4 linked regions of the Drosophila melanogaster genome follow. The gene in region 4 interacts genetically with the main gene of each other region. Each region holds a gene or a part of one and is shown on either strand. Other genes may lie near its edges. The genes, in order: put, Mob2, Lamp1 and upd1.

What was found.
Region 1: of upd1 (region 4) and put, changing one suppresses a phenotype caused by changing the other (phenotypic suppression), as found in Drosophila melanogaster (one study listed by BioGRID).
Region 2: of upd1 (region 4) and Mob2, changing one suppresses a phenotype caused by changing the other (phenotypic suppression), as found in Drosophila melanogaster (one study listed by BioGRID).
Region 3: of upd1 (region 4) and Lamp1, changing one suppresses a phenotype caused by changing the other (phenotypic suppression), as found in Drosophila melanogaster (one study listed by BioGRID).

The regions. Positions count from the first base shown.
Region 1 is NT_033777.3:14,619,700-14,627,505, forward strand, and holds the start of put (punt), read right to left. Parts: upstream 6,005-7,806; 5' UTR 5,547-6,004; coding exon 5,501-5,546; intron 3,974-5,500; coding exon 3,788-3,973; intron 3,721-3,787; coding exon 3,544-3,720; intron 2,605-3,543; coding exon 2,459-2,604; intron 2,391-2,458; coding exon 1,575-2,390; intron 1,515-1,574; coding exon 1,335-1,514; coding exon of another isoform or gene 1,323-1,334; 3' UTR 1-1,322. Other genes in the region: His4r (histone H4 replacement), read left to right, coding at 6,351-6,530, 6,595-6,726; CG7886 (uncharacterized protein), read right to left, coding at 7,311-7,806.
Region 2 is NT_037436.4:11,550,102-11,555,095, forward strand, and holds the start of Mob2 (Mob2), read right to left. Parts: upstream 3,012-4,994; 5' UTR 2,729-3,011; intron 2,593-2,728; exon of another isoform or gene 2,438-2,592; intron 1-2,437. UniProt on the Drosophila melanogaster protein: Required for the normal morphogenesis of a variety of polarized outgrowths including epidermal hairs, bristles, arista laterals, and dendrites.
Region 3 is NT_033779.5:21,571,532-21,577,641, forward strand, and holds Lamp1 (Lamp1), read left to right. Parts: upstream 1-1,857; 5' UTR 1,858-1,963; coding exon 1,964-2,030; intron 2,031-3,255; coding exon 3,256-3,582; intron 3,583-4,433; coding exon 4,434-4,655; intron 4,656-4,711; coding exon 4,712-5,052; 3' UTR 5,053-5,572; downstream 5,573-6,110.
Region 4 is NC_004354.4:18,304,816-18,310,912, forward strand, and holds upd1 (unpaired 1), read right to left. Parts: upstream 4,477-6,097; 5' UTR 3,994-4,476; intron 3,445-3,993; exon of another isoform or gene 2,922-3,444; 5' UTR 2,785-2,921; coding exon 2,428-2,784; intron 2,353-2,427; coding exon 2,203-2,352; intron 2,014-2,202; coding exon 1,279-2,013; 3' UTR 539-1,278; downstream 1-538.

The sequences.
Region 1 (7,806 bases), on a different chromosome or scaffold from region 4:
TCCAGAAGTATTTCAGATGCTTAGCCATTGATAAGAACTGATGCTGCGCAAAAAAGTTTCAAATAACCCGAAAGATAATACATTCCGCCAAGACTCTCTTAATTAAACTATAGCTTAAATAACTATAGCTCGACATACACCTTGTTTGGCTAACATTATAAGACATACTATCCGTTTAACAATGTTTAACATACTTACTCATTGTGTTTAGCTCTAATTTCTTACAGTGTGTGCATACCTCTTGGGTTGAATATTAACTTTGATTTTTTTTTTGTTTAGATTTTATGCTGACGATGAGTCGCAGCGTGTGCTTCATATAAACCTGCTAGACTGCGTGTGTTCCGTATGCCTATGCGTGTATGTGTTGTGTGTATATATAAAGAGTATAGTTTATATTTTATAATTTATGTATATGCGCTTAAGTTAGATTCTTGTTAAAAAGAAACTTTCCTTTGAAAACTTCAGGTGTTGCTTGTACTGTCCAGTAGAATTAGAATACAATTACATAATTACACATTTATTATGCTTACGCGATTTCTGAGGGTCATTGGCACTACGTTTTGGAAATAAAAAAATAAAAATCAAAAGCAGAAATATAAAACAGACAAAATAATAAAAAATCAGATGGTTAGGATGGAGTTTAAAGTATTTTTATTTAAAATACAACATTAAAACGCATGCACGTTTGAGCGCGAAATAAAAACGTTACAACTAAAAAGTAAACTAAAATTGTTAAATCTATTTTGAAAATAACTTTAAATATAAAACTACTACTATATGAAGACATTCGATAACGTACAAATAAAATTATACTTTAAAAGGCTTGACGATAATTTTCAACAGTTTACATATGCACACAGGCTACTGCCAGAGGGCAAAACAAATTGTACGTTATATGTATGATTTATATAGAACTATATATGGTTATCAGTCAATGAAGTCAATGTCGGATTAGCAACTACCACGTCTCTGGACATAGCTAATGCTCTTTGTTCAAAGTTGCTTAGTGTACGTTTCCACTCATTTCCAACAGATTTAAGAACTCGGGTTAACATCGAATGAGTCGATTTATAATTTAAAGAAAATAATAACAAAGAATCGTTGGCATGTTAAGCTTTTGGCTTTTCCCTTAGGAAAAGTTACATCTTACACGACTTCTTTCGTATAAATCAACCCATTCTATAGCTGCTTATAATGGTACTACAAACTATTAAACTAAAAACGAAACGTCTTACGACCTCGACGATCAACTATCCACTACGAAGCAAAAAGCTTCAACTGATTTTTTTGCAGAGCCACAGATCCGCTGGCTGGTCTGTGGCTTAGTACCGCTTCTATAAGCAATTCGTAGATTCCTTGGCGTCGTCAATGTTGGTGTGGTTCTTGATTAGCAACTGGGTTGAGGGATACTTGTTTAGCTGCGCAAAGCGTTCCATCACACACGAAGAGCTAAGACGAGCCTCAGCGTCGTGATCCCAGCACTCCTCCATTGTGTCGCAGAATACATTAAGTCCCTGTAAAAAAGTTACAAGTTATTTTCATTGACTAAAAGCATTATCAGAAGTCACACTCACCGGATGGGCGCGCCAGGAGTTGAGCAAACGAGGGCGCAGCTTCTTCATTACCACACTCTCCTGAACTTCGTCCAGCGACGGCCTCAGGCCCAGCTCGGCCTCAAAAGGCAGCTGGAACTCACCGACGGGTCCGGCAAAGTCACACCGTGACACCATTTCCCAGAGGACTAGGCCGCATGCGTAGACGTCTATGCGTAAGAAAGCGTCTCTATTGAAATTGATGGCACCCTCAAGCACCTCTGGGGCCATGTAACGTCGAGTGCCTACTTGACCGTGTGTATCGCCGCAGGGCTTGCCTGGCTGGAATATCATGGCCAAACCAAAGTCAGCTATACAGGCCGTCAGATCGCTCTTAAGCAGTACGTTCTTAGACTTGAAGTCTCGGTGAGCTATCGATGGTTTTAGCCCATCGGTCTTTGATGCCGGGATCTCCTCGTGCAGATGTGCCAGTCCATTGGCCATGGACTCAGCGATGCGGCACAACTCTGGCCATGAGATCGTGTGCGATTTGAGGTAGTCGCATAGTGATCCGTTATGCTGGTAGGTGGATATCAGCCAATATTCCGGCTTGTCCATGTGCTTCTCAACGCCCAGGAATTCGAGGATGTTCGGATGGCGCATGCGCGGCAGCTTGTAGATATCGTGCTCCGTGGTCCACGATTCTTTTTCCTGCATGCGAAAGATCTTGACGGCCACATCCTGATTGTTGAGCTTGGCTTGCCACACATCACCGAATCTACCACTGGCCTTCTGTTCCAGCAGCTGAATGGGACGGTTGCTGAGCAATGGCGATGAGTTTGTTATCTCAGCCTCGTGCTAAAGGGTTTAATTTTGCATAATTAAAATTATATATTTGCGGCAACATCACAAGGATATGTACGTACCGTGGGTATCTCGTTAAAGTGCGCCTGCTTGCGGCGTCGGTAGAGAAGAAGGCCCATGCCAACAATGACCATGAGCACGCTGAAAACGGAGGTGCCAATGTAGATGTATATCAAATTGCTGCCGTCCTGCGTCTTCTCCTTGGGCACTGCAACGATACAAGGACACACACGGGAACGAACATTAAAGAGGGCTTTAAACGCTGCCTTGCCACAGGTGAACAACATCTCGAGTGGCGGCATGCACCTGCAGCTGCTGGGGTTGCTATGAAAGGCAAAACGAAAACTAAAAAACGAAAGTTCGCCCCCAATTTCGCATCTCTTTTTCCCCTCATTTTGTTTCGAGATAAAAGCGAGCTAGGCCCAAGAACAAAACAACAAAGAGCAGGGCACAAAAGACGCCCTGGCAGCACAGGGCTTCGAAGTCAAAGGCAGCAGCAACACCCCAAAAATAAAAACAAGAAAGGATGCTAGAATGAAGTCACTCGACACTTGTATACCTGGTATTAGATAACAGATACTCTCCTCGTTGTGGGTTAAGGCTGCAAGCCAATTAAGTATCATTCAAAATAGGTAGAGTCTAATCCTATTAAGCCTTCATAATCGGAGTGAAATAAATTGGATTTATACCAAATAACTACCTCTTTCAGTTGCATCCTTTAAAGCGAACGCATTATACCCGATCGCTAAAGAAGTACCTTACTATAAAAATAAAAACGAACCAGCGAACGTGCACAGGAGGGCAGAAATTGCAACACATGCGGCTCCGAAAAGGGGTTGCTGGAGGCTGGGGATGTAGAAAATGATGGGGGAGCGGGCGCCACTTCGCGTCAAGAGTTCGTTAACACGAAAAACGCTGCCTCGGATGCGAGGAGTGGTATTTTGTAGGCGAAGCCTACGCCCTCTTTTTGCAACTTGAAGATGCAGTAAAAATACAAAAAAAAAAAAAAAAAACGAAATAACAAAAACAAACAAAAAATATATGCAAACGGAAAAATAACAAAATTGGGGTAAACACTCCAAAGACAAAACCCCAGTAGCAGCAAACGTTAAACCGAATCTGAATCCGAAACCGGATCCGAACCCACCTTGTGTGGTTGCCTCCGTGGTGCTTTTAATATATTTCTGGTTGGAATTGCACCGCGATCCCTTGCAGCAGCAGAAGTGAATGTTTCCCTGCCGTGGCTCTGCACTGGTCACGCACTCCGTCTGATTGCATTCGTGCATGTCCGTGAAGCAGCCCTTCATCTTGATGCGCAGGATGCCTATGGGAACGGAAAAATTAAAATTAATCAGTATGCCTGAAACAACGTCAACTTCTGCACGGCTCACCCGTTGTCTCGTTGACCGACCAAAGGACATAGCAGCTGGGAAACTTATCCGCCTCCATCTTACAGTGCTCTATCCGTGTTTCACATTGCTGCGTTGTGTTGCACATCTTCTCGTCGAAGTGCTCGCATTCTATGATCCCATGACTTCCGGGCAAAATAGATCCATGGATTCCAATCAGACAGCAGACTAAATGAAGACAATGGGAAAATAGATTAATAATCTTTCTAGTTTTAGATTAGCACTGATCTATATTTAAAGTATATATTTGAGCAGTCCTAAAACATGAGTAAAGACTTTCAAAAAGTTAAAACGTAGTTAAAGATCAAAGTTAATGGAATTATCGGTTGGAAGTGCTCAAAGGGTGGGCAAATAAAGTCGAGCCTATTTGGGGAATAAGACTGAAAGGGAGGGCGCTCAGCGAGCTCTTTGTGGGCGCTATCCTTTGTACACATATCGCATGCCCAGAAGTAGCAGGAGTAGCGTCCTAAGCTGGGGCCTCTGCCATTGAAAGCCACCCCATTTGGGCACGGAATTAGCCCCACTGGCCACACACCAGCCTTTGAGTGGGCATGGCCCCAATGCACGGATATGCAGTGCACAGTGGGCCTGCAGTAAGGTTTCTTGAAAATCTATTTACATTCTTTAATTCGATTTAATCTGGGATCCTCATCCAAATACCGAAATTTTTGTTGATAAAAATTAAAATGATAATTCACTTTTTAAATGTGTAAATACAAAAAATTTAATTTTGAAAACGTTTATTGCAACGAGCCTGCGATATATTGATTGATATTTCTTGACCATTGGCTAAGCAAACTGTTTTCAATCCTTTGAAACACTTTTCGTCCCACTGTCCTTTAGGTAATCGGATCGCTGGCCATGTATGTGTGTGTTCGTAAGCGTGCATGCTTTATAGTAAAGTAGATACATAAGCAGGCACATTATGCACACAGAAAGGGATGGGTTTAAAGTGGCGCTTGTGCGGAAAAAGGAAACAGCAGCAGCAGAAACAACAACAACAACAGCAGCAACAGGGAAGAGAGCGCACTGCGCCACAGAAAGAGAGAGGGCTATGGCGAGCGAAAGAGAGGGAGGCCGGTGGAGCAAAAGGGTGGGAGAAACCAGAACCTGCCATACAACAAGTTCCTAATGCAGCAAAATCCATTCAAAGAAATGCTCAGCGCACACACACATGGATTAAGATTGGGAATTAGGTATCCGATCGATTTATACCGAGTATGCGTTTGGCGCTCAACATATGAATTCGTAGTACCCACTGTCAACAATTCTTACGATATTTTACTACATTTGTGTAGTACAATTGTTGGTGCTTTAATAGAGTATCTAGTGTATACATTATTCACTTCACAAATAGATTTGATTCCTAGCATTTACATTCGTTATACCTAATTTCTGAAAATTTAAGATGTTCTGATGTGTTGGTTAATAGGACAAAGCTATCACAAAGCCTATACACCCTATATATGAACTTTTCAAGCGCCATGTGATATTAATAAAGTAATAGCATTACGCACCCCATATCATCAAAAATCACACGCACGAATGGTTATAAATCGAAGTCGGCTTGCATTACAGAGGAAAATCGTAAGGCAGAGACAAAATATAATATTATGTACATATGTACATAATAAAGCGACTGGGAATTAAGGCGCCAATAAGTATGCACCCACACACTCGCAGTGCAATACATACCCAGCGTTAGCTGCGCCGTTAGATAAAGCAGATCGTATTTGGACATTGTTATCGCCTGTGCAAACTTGTTTACAGCACTCGTTGCGTATACGTAACGCGAATATTTCGATGTTTCGGGGACAGGTGCAGTGGAATGGAATAACTGGGTACTGTTAATATTATTTTGGCACAGAGTTCCTGTTGTCTTCGCACTTTTCGAGTACAGCACTAAGTGTGTATGTGTGGGTGGCCGAGTGTGTGTGCGGTGCCTTGGCAGCGATTTTGCTGGCCACACGCCGTTTGCATGCGCATTTCCGCGGGTTTTACTCGACTTTTCGCCGCGACTTAATTTTAAGCTAGAGGGGCACAGTTGAAAAAGTATATGCGCGCTGCACTTTTTCGTTTTTCGCAGGTCTGCGGGCCTGTTTTCAAGCGATTTTAGTGCGAGCACGTCTTTCGGTTCGATTAAATCTTTTTTGTCGCAACGGGGCGGCGATAGCGATGGCCGATAGGCGATAACTGACCAGGGCTGGTAGTGAGACAATAGAAATACTAGATACGCGCATTTTGCGAAAGGTATTTTGAGGTGTGCGAGATCTGGTCACGCTCACAAGCAATTTTCTGGAGATTTCTTGAAGTGAGTTTTGTTGCTGAGAAATTTAAGTAAATAATAGAAGAATCGGTCAACAAAGTTTTTTTGTGCATAAACATAAAAAAAATAATTGGAGACCATTATTTTGTATGAAAACAGACTTATTAACAACAGTTTTCACCTGTCAAATGAACGTTTACCTTTCACCAAACATGGCGTCGCTTTACAGTTTATTGCGTCTTCTCTTCTTTTCAGCCAACTTTACGAAGCAACTGAGAAATGACTGGTCGTGGAAAGGGAGGCAAAGGATTGGGAAAGGGGGGCGCCAAGCGTCATCGTAAGGTGCTTCGTGATAACATCCAGGGTATCACCAAGCCTGCTATTCGCCGTTTGGCTCGTCGCGGCGGTGTTAAGCGTATCTCTGGCTTGATTTACGAGGAAACTCGCGGTGTGCTAAAGGTACGTTCTGGCGAAACGAAGGGAAAGTGGTGAAAAACTGATTAATTTCTCGGAAAATTCACAGGTATTCCTTGAGAACGTTATCCGTGACGCTGTCACCTACACCGAGCACGCCAAGCGCAAGACCGTGACCGCCATGGACGTGGTCTATGCCCTCAAGCGCCAGGGACGCACCCTTTACGGATTTGGCGGTTAAGCACGCCCTCTAACCTCCACATAATAAATAACCATGGAGTTAACTTAACTACATTCAAAATACTTGATCCAATTGAATCTTAATCAGTAGTATTCAACGCAAACTTAACCGAACGCAAATATTTTATAATTTCACAATATACGGACTAAATAAATCAAAAGATATCACATAGAGAACTCAATATCATGCATATGTGCATTTTGACTTGGGGCGGTTAATCATCCGAAAATAAGGTCCAACAAACTCGCTTAGGGAGCACACAAATAATAAATCTTTAATGGAAATTAGTAAGACCAAAGTATATTTTTGTACATTTTTGGTGCAGCTTGAATTCGCAGATGGCAGGACGTGCAAAAAGGAGCAGGTTCCCTTTTCTACTGCTACTGCCCGGGAGTATGACTGCAAATTTAGCTCTCCCAGTGGGGATCCTATCGAATCGAGTTGGCTGCTTTGTTGTGGGTGTGATGGTGGTGGTAGTGGTGTTGTTGTTGTTACTGCTCGGCGTATCAGCCAGCTGTGGTGTCGCTGCTCCGGCTGCGAATGGCTGCGGGGATTTTGAATGGAGGAACCTAAAGTCACGACCCCTAGGCGCTCTGCTCCCGCTGCTTCTGGAGCTGCAGGGACATGTAGACATTGGCCGGGGATATGACATTTTGGTCGCCGAAATCGCCAGAGCCTCCACCACCGCCGGCATCTCCGTCGCCGGCCTCTTCTGTGAGTGACATGGACTCCGATTGCTTGCGCCGCACAAAGACATGCATGGAGGAGTATTTCGAGCTACTAAGTAACGTGGAGTCCGTCGCCTCCGTCTCGTAGTCTGAGTTCTCCAGCGTAACGTCCGTTGAGGAGAGTTCTTCGGAGCGGGACATATACGACGACTCCATGTGCATGTCGCCGACTGGTACCTGAAGATCGTCCTCAGGCCGAGGTTTAAGGCGCTTTTTCCCCGTTTTACCAGCATTCGCTTGTCGTTCCAGATTGCTAACGAACTGCGCCACATGTCCATCGCTGGCGCCTGGGACACGTTTTTGCACCAAAGCCTCGACCAGTTGAGATTGCCTCTGCCTCCTGTGGGATCCG
Region 2 (4,994 bases), on a different chromosome or scaffold from region 4:
AGCAAAAAGAGGTACCCTGTACATTTCGATCTTTGATTTTCTATTGATATGAAGATCCTCTTTCTTCAATGTAAAACTAATTCGTTCTGTTAGTATTTTTTATATTTTTTGTGCTTTTAAATTTTAACTTTACGAAACTAATATCCCAAATTTCTCATGAAACTCTTTGTGCAGCTTAAAGCAAAAACTTTTAATTGCTTGCAGACAATACTAGGAAGCCAATAAAATGGTCTGAAGTGCGTGCTAAAAAAAAAGTACGAAAAATCGAAAGATGACAGAAAAGGGGTTAATGCCTATTGTTTTGTTTATTCAGCTCGAAACCAGCTACTGATTCCAATATCCAAAATGTTCAATTTCCGCGTCGCTGTCGCACTTAACCTTCAACTCGCATTGAAGCCAATTTGCTGACTCTGTTGTCTTTTCCCCCCAAACGAGTTTTGTCTTTTGTGCGCCCCCCTTCTAGTATCGTTTTCACACCTCCGCACACAGAACAACTGGCGCCCCATCAAAACCGAAATTTATGATGTGATTCTAGCAACGCGACGGCGAGTGTTTTTTTTTTCTTAGATTGCCCATTGCTCGCGTTTTGAATGAGCTTAATTGTTGCCGATTTGAGTGTGCTTTTCATGTATATGCAGCACAACCCGTTAAAGGTCAAATGAGCGATTGGCAAAGTCGAAAGAGAGAAAAAAAAAATAGAAACCGAAACCGAAAATGAACCCCCACCCCCTTTGCTCGCTAGAAAAGCTGGAGAATTATGTCTATGTCTGCTAACGAAAGAAATGAAAACGAGTTCCACAACTGGCAAACGACGAGCAGGAAGACGACAGCAGATATGGAAAGGGAGATAGAAGCTGTGCAGCGGTACGGTGACGTGAGATGTGCGATGCACATGCAATGGATGACATGATATACATAGTAGATAGGTGTATCTCCGTACCCCCACCACCAAACCCCATGCCAAGCCGTACAAAACCCATCCATATATATCTTCGAGCTGGTTTGGGTTGTTCTGTTCTGTTCGCTTCATTTTGGTTTGGTTTGGTCTGGAAGAGCTGACCGGCGGGCAGGCAGAGCATCATACATACATACATATGGCATAACGGTTCGGCGGAAAGGCGCAGAGAAGTTTTCGGGTCGCTAACTAACCCAGTTACCAGAGATTCATCCGACAGCGTTTATAACTGTGACTATCCTTTTCATATGGGTTAAACGATCGATTGAGATACACGTCGAATGAAAACAGTCCCAATAGAACCGAAATGCATATGTATGAATTCGATTAAATGCGATTGCTGAGTTACTAAATTAGTATCTATACGATTTTGCTGGAATTGCTTAATGGGGAAATACCGTGAGAAAAGTGTTTCATAACGGGGGCAAAACGTTCAATCGCAAATAGTACATAGATACTTTTCTATACCATTATATATCGAACTAAAATTGTTAGTTTGGATAAATATCATAGTGCTTCTTCCTAATTAGTTCCTGAGCTTACATAAATCCTTAACATCCGCAACACAGAAGGGCCTACACAGAAAACGAATCGAATTCGGTTAGATAATATCGCACCACAAAGGCTTGAATCAATTTCATTTCCTCTGCCTTCCGCAAATTGTCCATGGCAATTCAACTATGGGAATCCGCAACTAGTTCCAGTTGGCTTTGCAATTTTTAGCATGACCTCAAAAAATCGATGGATGGCCTAGCGCATTTGAGGACCCAAAGGGTTGGCGAGGGGCAGTGGTAGGAAGGCGCGGGGGGTCTGGACGAAAGGTGTGAGAAATAACAAGCTGCTGGTTGAGCCACTCGTAACTGTTGTTTTCTCAGCGTATTGAACACGTAGGCGCGTCAACGGGGTTGACAAAAAGTAGAAACAACGCAACCAGGATGTGCACGGAAAAAAGAGGAAATACTCTAGGCCCAATAAGATATATCATTATTTTAAGATTTTCACTCTTTTTATTTTTAGAAGGTATTTAAAGGCAGTTTGAATAAGGATATATTCCATAAAAACCTATCTTTAAATAATTCTTGTGAAAACTGTCAAATGAACCCTAACAATACCCCCATTTCTTTCTGTGTGGCAGAGAAAACACCTGACAATGCAGTTGAGTGTGAGGGGGCGTTAATAAGGGAGGGTTGAGGGTTGCAGGGCAGACAACCAGACAAGCGGACGAACAGACAGGAAGCTCGTGAGGAAGGAAGTTCCTGCCGCTGCGGCAAAGGAAGTGGTTAAAACAATATGGCAGTGGAGGAACAAGTAGTGGTGGAGTGGCAGTGGCAGTGGCACACCAAGCAACATTGTGAATGCCCAATGTACCGTTGTTGTTGCTGACGCTGGAGTAGCAGCTTTGCTGCAGCGTTGCAGTTGTTGCTGGTGTGCCAATTCTAAGCGCTGCATTGGCAACAGTCGCGCTTCGCCGGTTTCGCAACTGAACTCTCAGCTGCTATTGCTCCTCTGCAGTTAGTTGCTGTTGCTTCTGCTGCTGCTGCTGTTGCTGCATTGCGCGTAATCAGTGAAGCAACAAACCGTGGCAGCTAGCTGCAACAGCAACAATAACACGCCAGCAGTCGCGGCTCTGAGGAAAAACTTGAATGCAGTTTTTCGCAGCGAATGACACAGTTTCACACCAGCACGGGAAAACACTAGCACACACACAGAGAAGAACTTCTTTTCTTTCTTTCTTTTTTTTTTTGTTGGAGAACAGACTCCTTTTCGGCTTACATTTGTTCCCCTTTTCGGGATATTAGTTTGTATTGGTAGGCGATTTTATTTCACAATCTAGCATAGCATTTCACGGTGGCAATTGATGTTGCAAATGTTGCGCTGCTTGCTGCTGGAGTTGCTGTTTTGCTTTTAACTGCGACGCGATGATGTGTGGTTGCAACCGACGGCGGCGCCTCGAAAAACAATGTCAAATAATGACGCGGCGACATCAACAGTCCACTATTGACGACGACCTGCAACCGCTCGAGCGACCAAGCGTGCCAAAGGAAATTTCTACACTGAGCCAAGCCGTCCGTCTTTGACTGACTGCTGCTCGTTCGGCTGGCAACAGCAACACATACACATACACAGCGGCAACAACAGCAACACACAGCGGCAACATCAACACTCACGCAAGTAAGGAGAGAAAAAAGGCAGCAAAAGCAAAAACACAAAACTGGCAACGAAAGCAGAGCACACAGTAAAGATGAAGTGGTTGCTGTTGTTGTTATTGTTGCTGCTGATGTTGCTGCTGTCTCGCACACCAGCAACATTTGCTCTCCGCTCGAGCGCGAGGAAGAGAGCTAGAGGTATCAAATACCAGCTGAGCGGGAGAGAGCTGCCCGTGTACGTGTTTTGCATACAAATGCGCCACTCAAGCGAGACACGCACATCTATACGGTTTTCGACCACTTGTTTGACTGCTTTGGCTTTAGCCCTCTCTCTTCTACGCTCTCTCGCATCAGCTGAGCGCTCATGTTTTGATGCTCAGCAGCTGACTGCGCTGGCGTTGCCACACAGCTCGGTAACAAGAGAACACGGCAAAGTGGCAGTAGAATAGTAGCAGAATCTACTACTTTTTTAACGCATTGAACAAACCTAGGATAAACTCTATAAATAACAATTAGAAATTAATTTTCCACGAAAAGGGATAATTGTACCGTTCGTATGAAACATTTAAATGGATTTCTCATAAATATATTGCCATTGTTGATTCATTAACACATGGTTTTAATGATCACAGGTAAACGAAATAAATTCGGCAAATTTAATGGCTAACACAATTTCGTACAATTGACGCAAACATCACATCACTTATGTACTTTTACCAAGAACACTAATTGGCTTGATAACAATCTGTTCAACTAAAACATCATAGAGTTTTGTTAAAGCGCTAAACATTTATTTAATACGTTTAATACTCTAAGCATGTTATAATTTTTTTCTCAGTTAAAATGACTGCTCTAATTGACTTAAACAAATTACCTGGGATTTGGGTAAGCTCATGCTCAAGATATTTCACTCACCTGAAAGGAAAACAGAAAATAAAGAATTAAAGATATATTCCAATTTGTTATTCTCGATGGTAAGGACCTCCAGCTACGTGGTTCTTATCAATGAAGTGACCCCAAGCCCGCATGAAATAGCTACTCCTCTGACCATCAAATCTCTCCACAGGGAGTAATTATCACGCTCTTTTTCGGCCAGGAAGAAATAAAATCAGTAATCAAATAGAATGGAGCGGTAGACGAAAACCGAAGAACACAGGAACTGCATTTGCTGCCTAACTTACACAGAATCTAGACCCGAATAAGAAAACATAATATAAACGCATCGTCATTCTGCGTAAATAAAGTTGAAAACAGGAACACGCAATGCACTTAGATAAATTTGGACCGACATGTGTGGTATTCATTAAGCGAATAACTAAAAAGAATGATTAACAAAAACACAACAGTACCAACCCACATAAACTTATTTTATATTTTTAAATTTACTAGACAATTGCATTAATACACTTTTTTTCGAGTGTATCTCAAAACAGCTGTCCATTGACGAGCTGAAGAAAAACAAGAACAAATACGACTGGGGCGAAAAGGTGAGAAGCGGATAGAGGAAAAGGAATCTTGGCAGCAGAGAACGCGCACCTGTGACCGCCCGCAATGCAACCGAAACGGCGGCAAGTTCATTTGCACCACATCAAAATTTCATCCACACTATGCTGCGCACACACACACACGAAGCGTGTAATGGAACATCTGATCCGTACCGCCAACTCTATGGCCCTCTCTTTCCACCCACACAGCACAGCAACCATCTCACTTGCTCCAAAAGGTGGTAACGCTCGGCTGCTTTCTAGCGGTTCAACTGCTGCCATTTGCCATTACTCGAATTGCTTTGTGCCCATTACTTATGGCAGCGACTGTTGCCGTCGGACAGCAAAAACGGCACACGATCGCGATCTGCGGATATTGCGGATGTTGCGGCAAGAAGGTAGGAAAAT
Region 3 (6,110 bases), on a different chromosome or scaffold from region 4:
AACGTCCTTTAAGGTGGTTTAGGGAACATTTTGGAACACGCTCTCCGATTGGAGATATTCCTTAAAAATTGGAATACATATTTTTTAGTTGCACATTTTATATACCTTCTTAAGTCCCATAAAATAAAGTCGTACATACATAGTTAGACCAAACTTTTCTAAAACATTTAGCTTTTATATTTTTAAGGATTCACCTGTAAATAACGAAAAATAAATAAATAAAAAAGTTCCCATGAAAAAAACTCCACCGTTCCGCCAAAGACCCTAGAATAACAAGATGCGTAACGCCATACGATTTTTTGGCACACGATTTTTTGGCCGTGGCTCTAGAGGTGGCTCCAGGCTCTCTCGAATTTTTGTTAGAGAGCGAGAGAGCGAAGAGCGCTACAGCTAACAACTGTATGTGTGCACACGTATGCTCATGCATTGTAAATTTGACAAAATATGCCCTTCACCTCAGAAGTTCTTAGACTTTAAATCTATATTATTTTTGATCAATTGGCACCATGCGAAAAATTCTTGTTTTGCATTGCCTTAACGTTATTATTGTTTGAAAATAGATTAGAAATAGCCAAATCTATGTACATATTATCACAAAAATAAATTTCAAAAATGGCTTTATATTAGAATATTTGTCATTAGAGTATTCATATTGAGGCGTGTGAAAAATTAATAAGGCAATGATTGTTGAGTGCTTGTGTCCGCACTTCGTGCCGCAAGATATGAACAAAGCAAAGACACTAGAATTATTCTAGTGTCTTTGATATGACTTTTGCAATAAACAGTTATCATATTTTTATGAAATTTATGAAATTACAGTAGTTATAATAATTTCTATTGTACTTCCTTTAATTATTTAGTATATTTATTAAGTCATTTGACTTAATATGATGTAACATTAACATTAAAAGTGTTTAAAAAAAATATTTCGCTTTTAAAAAATTGTCAGATGAAAGACAAATTAGAATTAAACAAAAATATAAATGTGTAAACGGATAAACGAATAATTCTAGTGTCTTTGCTTTGTTCATATCTTGCGGCACGAAGTGCGGACACAAGCACTCAACAATCATTGCCATATTAATTTTTCACACGCCTCAATATGAATACTCTAATGACAAATATTCTTACATAAAGTCATTTTTGAAATTTATTTTTGTGATAATATGTACATAGATTTGGCTATTTCTAATCTATTTTCAAACAATAATAACGTTAAGGCAATGCAAAACAAGAATTTTTCGCATGGTGCCAATTGATCAAAAATAATATAGATTTAACGTCAAAGAACCTCTAGGGTGAAGGGGATATTTTGTCCCATTTACAATGCATGAGCATACGTGTGCACACATACAGTTGTTAGCTGTAGCGCTCTTCGCTCTCTCGCTCTCTAACAAAAATTCGAGAGAGCCTGGAGCCACCTCTAGAGCCACGGCGAAAAAATCGTGTGCCAAAAAATCGTATGGCGTTACGCATCTTGTTATTATAGTGTCTTTGGTAATACCTAACATTTTTTCATTAAGTCAATGAACTCAAAATATGGAAATTAATTTATAAATATTTCCACTGTGTTATAAACCCTGTGTGTTATAAACCTGTGTTATATAAACCCGTGATAAAATTATAACATGTTATACATATAATTCTTTCGATTGATCAGAAATTAAATGTTTGATAAGAAAATGTACTAATTGTATTATATTATGGAATTAAGAATATATTTTTTGGTATATTATTATTATAAGTTTCATTAAATATCGATAGACATCTTGCTGTAGTGGACATGTACTATTATTACGGTTCCATATGGGCTAATTTTAGTTCTTTTAGAAATTCGGTCACACTATTGATGAAGAAGGTCAAAATAAAAACTAGCTCAGTCGAGACAAAAACGTATGTGTCAGTGTAGTAGATTAACGTATAGAAAAACTGCAACACAACTTAAGTGAGATTGCCATTCAATATGTTCGCCAACAAATTGTTGACCTGCTCGGCATTACTAATAATGTTATTTTTACTAAGCAGTACAGGTTAGTGCCAAGCCAATTAAACCCTTTTTAAAACAGCAATGAAATGCGTCGCATTGGAGGCCTTTGTTCAATGTGATAATACATCGCAGTTCTTTTTATATGTATATGTATGTCGTTTGTTCATCGCACATAATTTATTTTTCCGGTGCCGTTCACGTCGCCATATGCGTTAGTGTCTTATCGGCGTAATAAGGTGTAAACGGTTGAATTGCGAGTTTTGCCTTCGTAGATCAAGGGTTTTAAACCTATTTCAGTAATCTGGCTATCCTTTCATAACTCTTCTAGAAAAATGGTGTCGCTTACGTTCGTTAGCCCCGGAGAACATCCATTTTTACCCCTTTCGCTTATTTGTTCTGGCAATTTACAGTTTTGTATGCAGATAAAGTCATCCGCCACCGTATGCATCCATATTTATTTTATGCACTTAAAATATTTATATGCATGGGTGTATAAATCGGCATATCATATTAAATTTGTATCCGCCATATAGCATACTTTAGTTTTTGGTTACTATCTGTCAATTCATATAACAAGATTTTGGGTCATTTGTTCAATACCAATGTTAGACATTTGTGCACATAGTATATACAAAATAATATATGACATAAAAAAAACAATCTGTGATAAAATAACAACAAGAGATAACGCTATAGTCGGTTCTCTGACTATCAGACTATGATAAGCGGATAAGACAACAAAGACTTGGAGCTAGACTGGGCATATGTATGTACCTACATATTTGGGGAGACATATTAAAATAAACAATTTAAAACATTTTTTTTTATAGCATGCGTGATAAAATGTTTCGGCATAGCAACAGAAGGATAAATGATTAAATCAGAAAATATTTTTTATTTTTTAATTTGTAGTGTGTTCCTACTAATCTTATCTTGTTAAATAGTTCTATAACCAGACCGAATTTAAAATTCGATTTCGACCTTATACATTTGGTTTGTATAAATATTTGACAATATGTTACGGTACGGCCATTTTCATAGGATCTCTACAAATCACTGAAAACGGAAATAAATTGTCCATCAAGTCCAAACTCACTAATATAAATAACAAAGGGTAATTTTTTGATAAGAGAACAAAGGAAATACAATTAGAGCTAACCATATGTACATTTGAATCTCTAATAAATAATTTTTTTTTCACGTCAATTTAAAGAAAATTCCGATTTAATAAAGAAAAGCTTTAATATTTTTAAAAATTCTTCTTTTAGTGTTCTCTCAAAAGCTTATTGGCTTGCCGAGAGTCGGTAAAAATGTTAGTGATTTGTTTCTGGAACAAGCAAACCCACTGACCAGCAGCTCCTCAACAATCTCAACGTCTTCGACAACAACTGAGAAACCTATCACAACCAGATCAACTTCTACAATAACTCCGAGATCTACCACACCTTCAACGGAATCACCATCGACCACCGCACCAGTGATAAGCACGACCATTGCCCCGCAACCATATCCGCAACCATCCATTGGGGCTTGGAATACCTCTTGTATTATGCTTCAAATGGCGGCACAACTTAATTTTACCTATGAGGCTAGGGGTAAGAAAATAAATCCATATTTAGATTGCGATCGAATTACGGCATTGGTGAGGTATGGGCTCTATTAGATTTTATAGAAACTCGTCTCACAGTTTTAACATTTTAATGAACTTACTGAAATCGATAAGGCAAATATTTCAGTTTAGATTAAAAAGAGATGTACATATGTAAGGATATATGTATGTATATTATATATATTATATTTACATCACTGTACACATAGAAATGATAATCAAGTTTTCAGACAATAACGAGTGATGCACTAATGATGCACTAAGGGTAACGTAAGGATAAAGACGGAGCGCAAGTTTGTTGACCCATGTTGCCACGTCCACAAACCATTTTTTTTCCCATTTTATTCCCCAATATCTATCGATATCCCAGAAAAATTATAAAAGTTGCGTTCGCATTCACACTAGCTGAGTAACGGTTACCTCTTCGGGTATCTCTTTTGTTTTTAGTTTAAATCGAATGGTGTATCAAGACTTACATAAGTAGTACATCGTATATATAACTTAATAACTTTCACTCCGTTTTGGACCATTTATAATAGTTATCTTTTAAATAATTCATCAGTAAACCAGTATTTAACATATTAAAAAGTGTATAACAGGTAGAAGAAATCGTTTCCCAGTCGAGCTCAAGGAAGCTGGGTTCGGTAAAATCGAATTTATGAAATTTGAAAGCTGGAATAGTCTGTCCATCTATGCTAATGGGCAAACGCTTTTTATTAATTATTATTTGTACTTAAATAAGCAATTATACTTACTTCTAACTTCATATATTATTATAACTAAAAAAAACTTGCATCTTTGTAAGAATATCCGACTAACGAAGACTTTTATCTTTAGAGGGAAACTTTACCACCGGTCTGTACAACATCCCCAGCAACGCATCTGTTGAAGATGCAGAATGTAAAAGCCAGACTACTCAGTTTATTCATCTGATTTGGGGACCAGAAACATCAAAGCAATCATTAATTATGTATTTTAATAAAAGTAATGACACCACTGTGCTTTCCTTTATGCAAATTCATCTGGCTTTGCTGCCTGAGGATTTTCCAGATGCAAAGGGTAAGAAAATATAAAAAATAGTAGACAGATCTGTGTCGAATAATCCCCAATTCCAGAAAATCAAACGGTTCAGCTTATTACCAGGAGCGACGGAGCGTTTAAGACACCAGAAAATATGTCGTATCACTGCACTCGTGTTCAGAAGATAAATATGACTGAGACACTCGATGCTGAGCAGTTAATTGGTTGGATCAGCGTCAGTCATGTTCAGGTGGAGGCTTTCCGGAGGGCCAACGACACTGGTTTCTCAGTTGGACACGATTGCGATAGCTCGGAAACTTCGGATGTGGTTCCCATTGCCGTTGGAATTGCTTTAGCTGCATTAATTTTGGTGGTATTAATATCATATCTGTGTGCTAGGCGTCGTTCCACCTCCCGCGGTTACATGAGCTTCTAATAGAAGGACATCAGCTTAATTGGGCAGGTTGCGAATCAAAGGAGTATGGACAGCAAATTGTTAGAGAGAAATTTAAGATTGATTTTTATTATTGGAAGCCAAAATTGATTAGTTGAAGTTGAATTAGTTTTTTTTTCAAGAGGGTCATCGAAATCATCAAGCGCAATTGGGTTTAGAATAATAAAACGGTTCTTTAAAAACTTTTTTACGTCTCTGTCTTTGTAAGTGTCCGATATTGGTTCTTGTATGCTGATATTTGTGTTTTATTTAATTGGTTTGAGCAATGTAAATGTAAAATAAAAAAAAAATTTCTAAATAAATTAATCTCTATAATGTAGCTACCGTGTTAACCCTAAAAAGGTGGTGTCAGAGAGGACATTTCTATTGTTAAGGCAAAAACCTGTACGCAATACCAACAAGTATACATTCTATTCAAATGTTATATTTTTTAAACATTATTATTGGGGCATATAAATGTGTGTATTCCTGACCTTAACTGTAATAAATAATATTTAAAACCAAGCACAATAATGATTTTCGTTTGCTGGAAAGGGCTTATGGGAAAAATCTTAAAATCATTTTTAATTTTATACAATTTTTATTTTAAATTATTTTAATTGGTTAATTATTGCGCTGTTCCTGTTTAGATGAAATTCTACGCTCCTGCAGCTGACAAAATACATGACCTGAGCTGGGCATCATAAGTTGTTCCTTTAGCAACTCGAAACGCTCCTCGGCTAGTTCATAATCATTCTGCGCCAAGGCCACTAGGCCCAGATTGTACCTGGCTTCAAAGTTCATCGGCTGAAGTTGCAGAGCTCCCTCAAACCGTTCGCGTGCTAATATTAGGTTGTGCGAGTCCAATTCCACTATGCCGGCGTTGATCAATCCTGGCGCATTGTTTTTTAGCGATCCTATTTCATGTAACTGGTTAACGCAATGGGAGGCCATTTCTAGGTTGCCTAACTGAAATATACGTTATGTTTTTAAGTACAAAGTGCATGTACTTTATTACACGGTACCTATAAACTGCTAGAGTAAAATGACATTTAAATTAG
Region 4 (6,097 bases):
GCGCGAACTTTCATTGAGTGGTTCCATTGATCACAGTCCATTCATTTCCTCTGGGTTTCTGGGCACAGGTAGACAAGCAGGTGGGGATCGGAATCGGAATCGGGATCGGGATCGGTTTCGGTATCGAGGGGAACTGGGAGCCTGACGTGCTAATAGTTTGACGCCGCTGGAGATCATAAAACCCATGACCCATGGAGGAGCCATAAAGACGCATCCAAGGCGCAGCAGAAAGCGAATCCGCAGAAAGTGGGTCAAGGGAATTGGAGTAATTGACTCCCCCAGGTATAGGGATTCAATGTACGCGAAAGTGTTGGCCACATAAGATAGGTTGGTTGATAGGTTTTTGATGGTAAAAGATATAAAAATATATAGAATTGAATTCGATATTCGGGTATTTCAATTTTGAAATATAAGATAAAAACGTTGAACCTCAAAATGGGAAGTACGAAGTTCTTTTCCATCATAAATTTAAGTATATCCAAATGGATATATGTATACCATTTATTCCCAAAAATGAAATGCAATCCAGATTTATTTTCAAATTCAATTCAGTTTATTGTTCGCTTTATTCCGCTGCTGGCTTAGTCATATGTCGGTCGGTTCTATAAATACGAAAATCGATTTCTAAGGGCGAGCTTAGGACTACGAAGGCATGGATGCGGCCACATGCCACCCCAATGCGATCTATATATAATATATATGTACAATTAGGTTAAATACGAACTAGTCAAGCACTATATCACAGATGTCGAAACACAAGCTAGCCTACGAAAAAAAAAAAATGTGTGTGTGTGTGCCTTAGGATCAAAGTTTAGCCTAAAGGATATGGATATGGAATTATGATCATGAATGCCATGGGTTAGCTTAGCCTACTGGGGGTCACATAGTACTCGATGCGGGTGCGGAATGGGCTACAAAGCGGGCGTGGCGAATAATACTTTCCAGTGGGTGGTGGTTGGCGGTTGCTCTTATGTGACTAGAACGGCAACTGCAGATTGTGGTTTCGTATGCTATATAACTATATCTCTCTCTCTATTTCTCTCTCTCTCCCTCTCTCTCACTCTCGACGAATGTCAATAAATACGGAATGTGGTAATACTTGCAATGAATTCGAGAACAGAGACTATGTGCTGTCAATCAAATAATTTACTTAAGCTACTATCGATCAATTAACGGTTAAATTAAGGATTTGAGGCTAGGGGTTTGTAGAACAGAGGAAAGGGGCGAGTCCTGAGGTAAGGGGAAATGGAAAGATATGGGAATGTTGTGTATGCTATTTCACGTGCGCTGCACGCGCTTCGACTGGCGCTTTCCACGTCTGCCACGTGCAAATTGGTTGCTTCCACCACCGGAAACACCTGCAACATCTGCAACTCCAGCAGCACCACCGGCCACTGGCTTGGATACCTCGTTGAACTCCTTGCCATTCAAGGTGGAGCTGCGCCAACGCTGCTCCAGTTGATCCGCCAGCTGCTGCTGCTGCTGTAGCAACTTTTTCTGGCTCCTCTGCTGCTTCTTGTGGTGCTTCCGTGGCCGACTCCTTACCCGCTTGCCATCCCGCCGCAGCAGCTGGTACATGGTGCGCAAAAAGTCGTAGTAGTGGTGCTTCACAAAGCGCATATCGATCGAGTCCGCCTCGCCCGCCGCCATGGATGCACTGGAAGCAGCACCACCCATACCGGGCCCACTCGTCTTGGAGCGCAGCTTCAAACGCTTGTTCATCTCGAGACGCGAGATCTGTGGCAGCTGCTGACCCAGCATGGTGGTGCCGCCAACTGCTGTGACCGCCGCACCACTGCGCCGCTGCTTCTGGCGCGGACTCTGCGTCTGGTTGACGGCTGTCTCCAGCTCGCAGAGGATGCGCCGCGAGCTCAGGAGCAGCTCGCGCAGCTCGCGGGCGGTGCTGGACTCGCGGGTGATGGACCGCTGATCCCAGCGGATCTGCTGGCGCCTCAGATACGCAAAGCTGGCCACGTAAGTTTGCATGTTGCGGTACCAGCGCTTTAGGGCAATCTGTGGAAGAAATCAAAAAGATGGAGACAATTGTGAGCTATTTTCAAGATACATAGATACAAAGTTGATAACGAGATAATTGAGCTATTTTCAAGATACATAGATACAAAGTTGATAACGAGATGGATTTAGTAACTAGTTTTGACAACTAAGTTAATAGATAAAAAGTATGACTGTAGGATTGCTTACCGTGGAATTGGGCTTGAGCTTGGGCAGGAACTTGTAGTTGTGCGTGTGGAGGGACCACATGGTCATGTTGCGGATATCTATGGCCGAGTCCTGGCTACTGTTTAGGCTGCGGTACTCCCGAAAGGCGTGGCGCTTCAGCTGATTGAAGCTCTGTGGAGAAGCAGATAAAATGGGGAGCGGATTACATATGGATCGGGTCCAAAGAGCGCTGCCGTTTGAACTCACCTGCCTGGGACGCTGGCGATTGAAGCGATCACCCGCCGAGGGATGATAGTTGCCACCGCAGGGATTGGCCCACTCCAGGGCGGTGGTGTTCTCGTCGAAGTTGCGATAGTCGATCCAGTTGCTGTTCCGCTTTCTGTGGCGCTTGCGCGGACTAGCGGCGCTGGCAGGGATCGTGCCCTGATTGGGATGCTGAGCTGAAGCCGTACTGGAGGTGGTGCGAATGCGCAGGCGCTCGCTATCGATAACCGTTAGACCGCCGCTGCTGGTGGTGCTGCGCCCCTCGGCGAGGTGGGGCAACTGGGCGGCAAGGAGCAGGACGAGTAGGATGGGCAGGAGCAGGAGCAGCGGACGAGCCATCGCCGCATGGTAGCCACTTTCTCTTCTGCGCCGGAATCCGTTACCGCTACCGCTACCGCTTCCGCTGATGTTTCCGTTTCCGTTGCCGGCTGCCGTGGTGCTGTTTTTAGCTGTGGTCGCAGCGCACTGCCAACCAACTACTGTCCGCGGTCCGTATCGAAATCAGTGTGCAGATACAGCGAACGGGGTTACAATATATATATATAGGATATATGTGAAGGGTGGGGATGGGGGGTCAGAAGGGAAGAGATGTGGAGAAAAAACACTATGAGTATCGAGAATGCAAAAGTAAATTCAATTTTCTGCTACAACGCGCGACGACCAACGATCAACTGCTATCACTGTTCCTCCCTGACTAGATGGTTAACTAACTGGACTCCCTTGGGAGTGGATGGGTTACTGGGTGGGATTGGGTGGTCGGGTGCTTCGATGCTGGAGCTCTGAGGTGATCGGGATTACGGGTCGGATGATCGGCCGAGCCTCCTTCAATGCGAATGCAACTGCAACCAGACAACAGTCTCAACAATTTGGTTCGATTTTTTTAACATTTTCTCTATGTTTGTTTTGCGGTTTTTTTTGCTTTTCGTTGTTTTTTTTTTTTTGTCTTTTCCAGAGCGATATGTGTGTATATTGAGGGCGGGGAAACTTTTTAATTTAGACAATTAACTCGAGAGTAGCCTGAGCGAATAACGAAGACGTATCGATCCAAGTTTCGAGGATCTAATCTTCTCCAGGCGACAAATCTCTGCCTTCTGGCTTGGCTTGGCTTTAACTTCCAGTGTGTGAAAGTGTATGGAAACTTTTGAGGTTGAATTTTGGATTTGGGGCTAATTCTAAAATTTGAACATTTCAAATTCTCCATTCAAGTTAGCTACTTTATCTGACAGGATTAAAATTCGAGACTGAAGATCGTTTGCTGCTAAAAACGAACGGAAAGGATTCGCACAAGTAACAATATCCTGAATGGATTTGCATTTTAATGCAGAGCGAATTAATTAAACTATATAATTTAATCCTAATTCCCAAAATTGCAGTTGCTGTCACAGAATGTCCTTTTTGCTTAACAGTAGATCGTTGGTCGTTTCTTGTTGATAAGTCACTTGAAGAGTGGAGAATTGATATTGACCAAAATATCCTTTTCGATCGCTTCTCCACTCTCCAATTGTGCCTGCTCTTAAGTCTTGATCAAATTAAAAATAATACACACACCGCATTATAGATGAAAAATGGAATCGTTCAGGATCCTCGCGGGATCCCCGTGGTTTGTGCTGCGCCTGAGCTCCCAAAAGTCTGTACGTTAATCCAAATGTTCGATGATCGTTCGAGATTCGTTGTTCGTTGATTTTCCGGCGGTTTTCAATGGACACACTTGCAGCACAACACTCGCAAAAAAATGTATTTATATATAATATTTGTGAGACCACTTGACCACAGATCGAGTTCAAATCCGTGCTTCAGTTTGTGTTCTGATTTGGTGATTTCGATGCTTTGGAGACTGATTCGCGGACACTTCTGCTCGCGTTCGAGTGTGAAACCGAACTGAGCCCAAAGTCGCGCTGGATTTGACCAGCTTTCTTCGCTGAGAGGCTGCGGATACCAGATACCAGAATACCAGAGCGATACCGACCGACCACCGACCAACCGACCGACCGATGAGCAGCGCCAAAAGGCCGAAACCGAAACTGAAATGGGAACTGAGGCGAGCTGAGCGGCCTCTGCCGGCGTCGCTGCCCGCCGAGTGCCGACGAGCGGTACGCCATGGTCCGAGCCAGAAGAAGACCGCCGATTCGGACCGATCAGATTCAGATCCGAAGAACCGCAGGCTGTCCCGCTCCCGCGCCCGCTCTCACCGATCGTATTCGGGGTATCCTATTCCCAGGTCACCTGCACGTGTGTGCGTATGCGCCTACCTGGCCGAAGTGTGTATTGGTGCCGTCTTTGAGCCTGCCAACCGGCTGTCCTCGCGCGCCATCCCGCTCGCTCCTGCGGACCAGGGCGATCTTGGGCCGGTCGCCATTGCAACTGGAATTTTCCCACTTGCCCAATCCGCGTCACTCACTCAAAGAGCGGGAAAAGAAGAGAGGCAGCCTACCTGGTGCCCCAAAAGACCAGGCCTACCTGGCTCTGTCTCACTCTTCTAAGCCCGGTCAGCTAGGTCCTCTCTCTCTCTCCCTCTCTCAAACTCTCTGGGTGACCTTGAGCGGCCTGCTCACCCCTCCCAAAAAGTCCTGACATTCAAATCGGTCTAGAAAGTGATCAACGGAAATGACCAACATAACACCGCTATTCAGCTCGCTAATCCAGGTAAACTATCCATTCGAGAACTATCCACGAGGAACGTTAACCAATATTACATTTTCTTCAACTTTTTCTAACAACTAGTAAATTGCTATATATTTTGTATATTAAAATTAATTTAGTAATTATAAGGAATAAAGCGTAAAATAGGATAAAGCACTAAGGAATCAACCAATTGTGCAGTTACAATTCTTCTCAATACCAGTAGTAATATATATAATAATACATAATATATACATTTTTATAGTAATATTATTTATACGTGTTCGAACCACAATCAATATAACTGAAGTAGTGATTTTGGCACTCACAATCTATTATATATGTATATACCATTCAAATTCATTTGACATGATTCAAGTTGTTTAAATGAAGTTAATAATATACATATATATGCCTAAATCTGTTCGTATGGGTAATTAATTAATAAAGATTTACATAAAAATCGTAAAACATTAAGTTGTTTCATCATTTTTTGATACATTTATAACTCACCTCAAATTATTTATTTTGATAATCGCAGCGCTGATATTTGACCATCTCGATGAGTTCGGCTTGATATTGTCGCAATTCCGCTTTGGGTGGGTAACTAGAAGAAGAGTGTGAAATCTCTGGCCAGTGGGCCAGGTACTCCCAACTGGCGAACCCCCGGACGCCCATCTACCTAGGACATCCCTATGTCAAATATGCCCATATTTCTCCCTACTTTCGAGGGCTTGCACAATTGACGGTCTAATTAAATTGAGAGTTTTGCTGCATTATGGCCGCATTGTTTTGGGCAGCCGAAAACAGCTGTAGATGGTCAGATAGCGGGCCGAAACGGACAGCGGACGGTGTGTCCTTGCGTCTAACCGTAAGTGCAGCGTGCAGCAACTGCTGCAGGAAGCAGTTGTGTTGCGCAGCGGGGCCACTCGCCTTTATTTCGCCGCAAGGCAGGACGGACGCACAGGACTCGAATCTCGCAGGACCCACAACCCACAGAGAGGGACTCGCTCGCATATATCACATATATCAA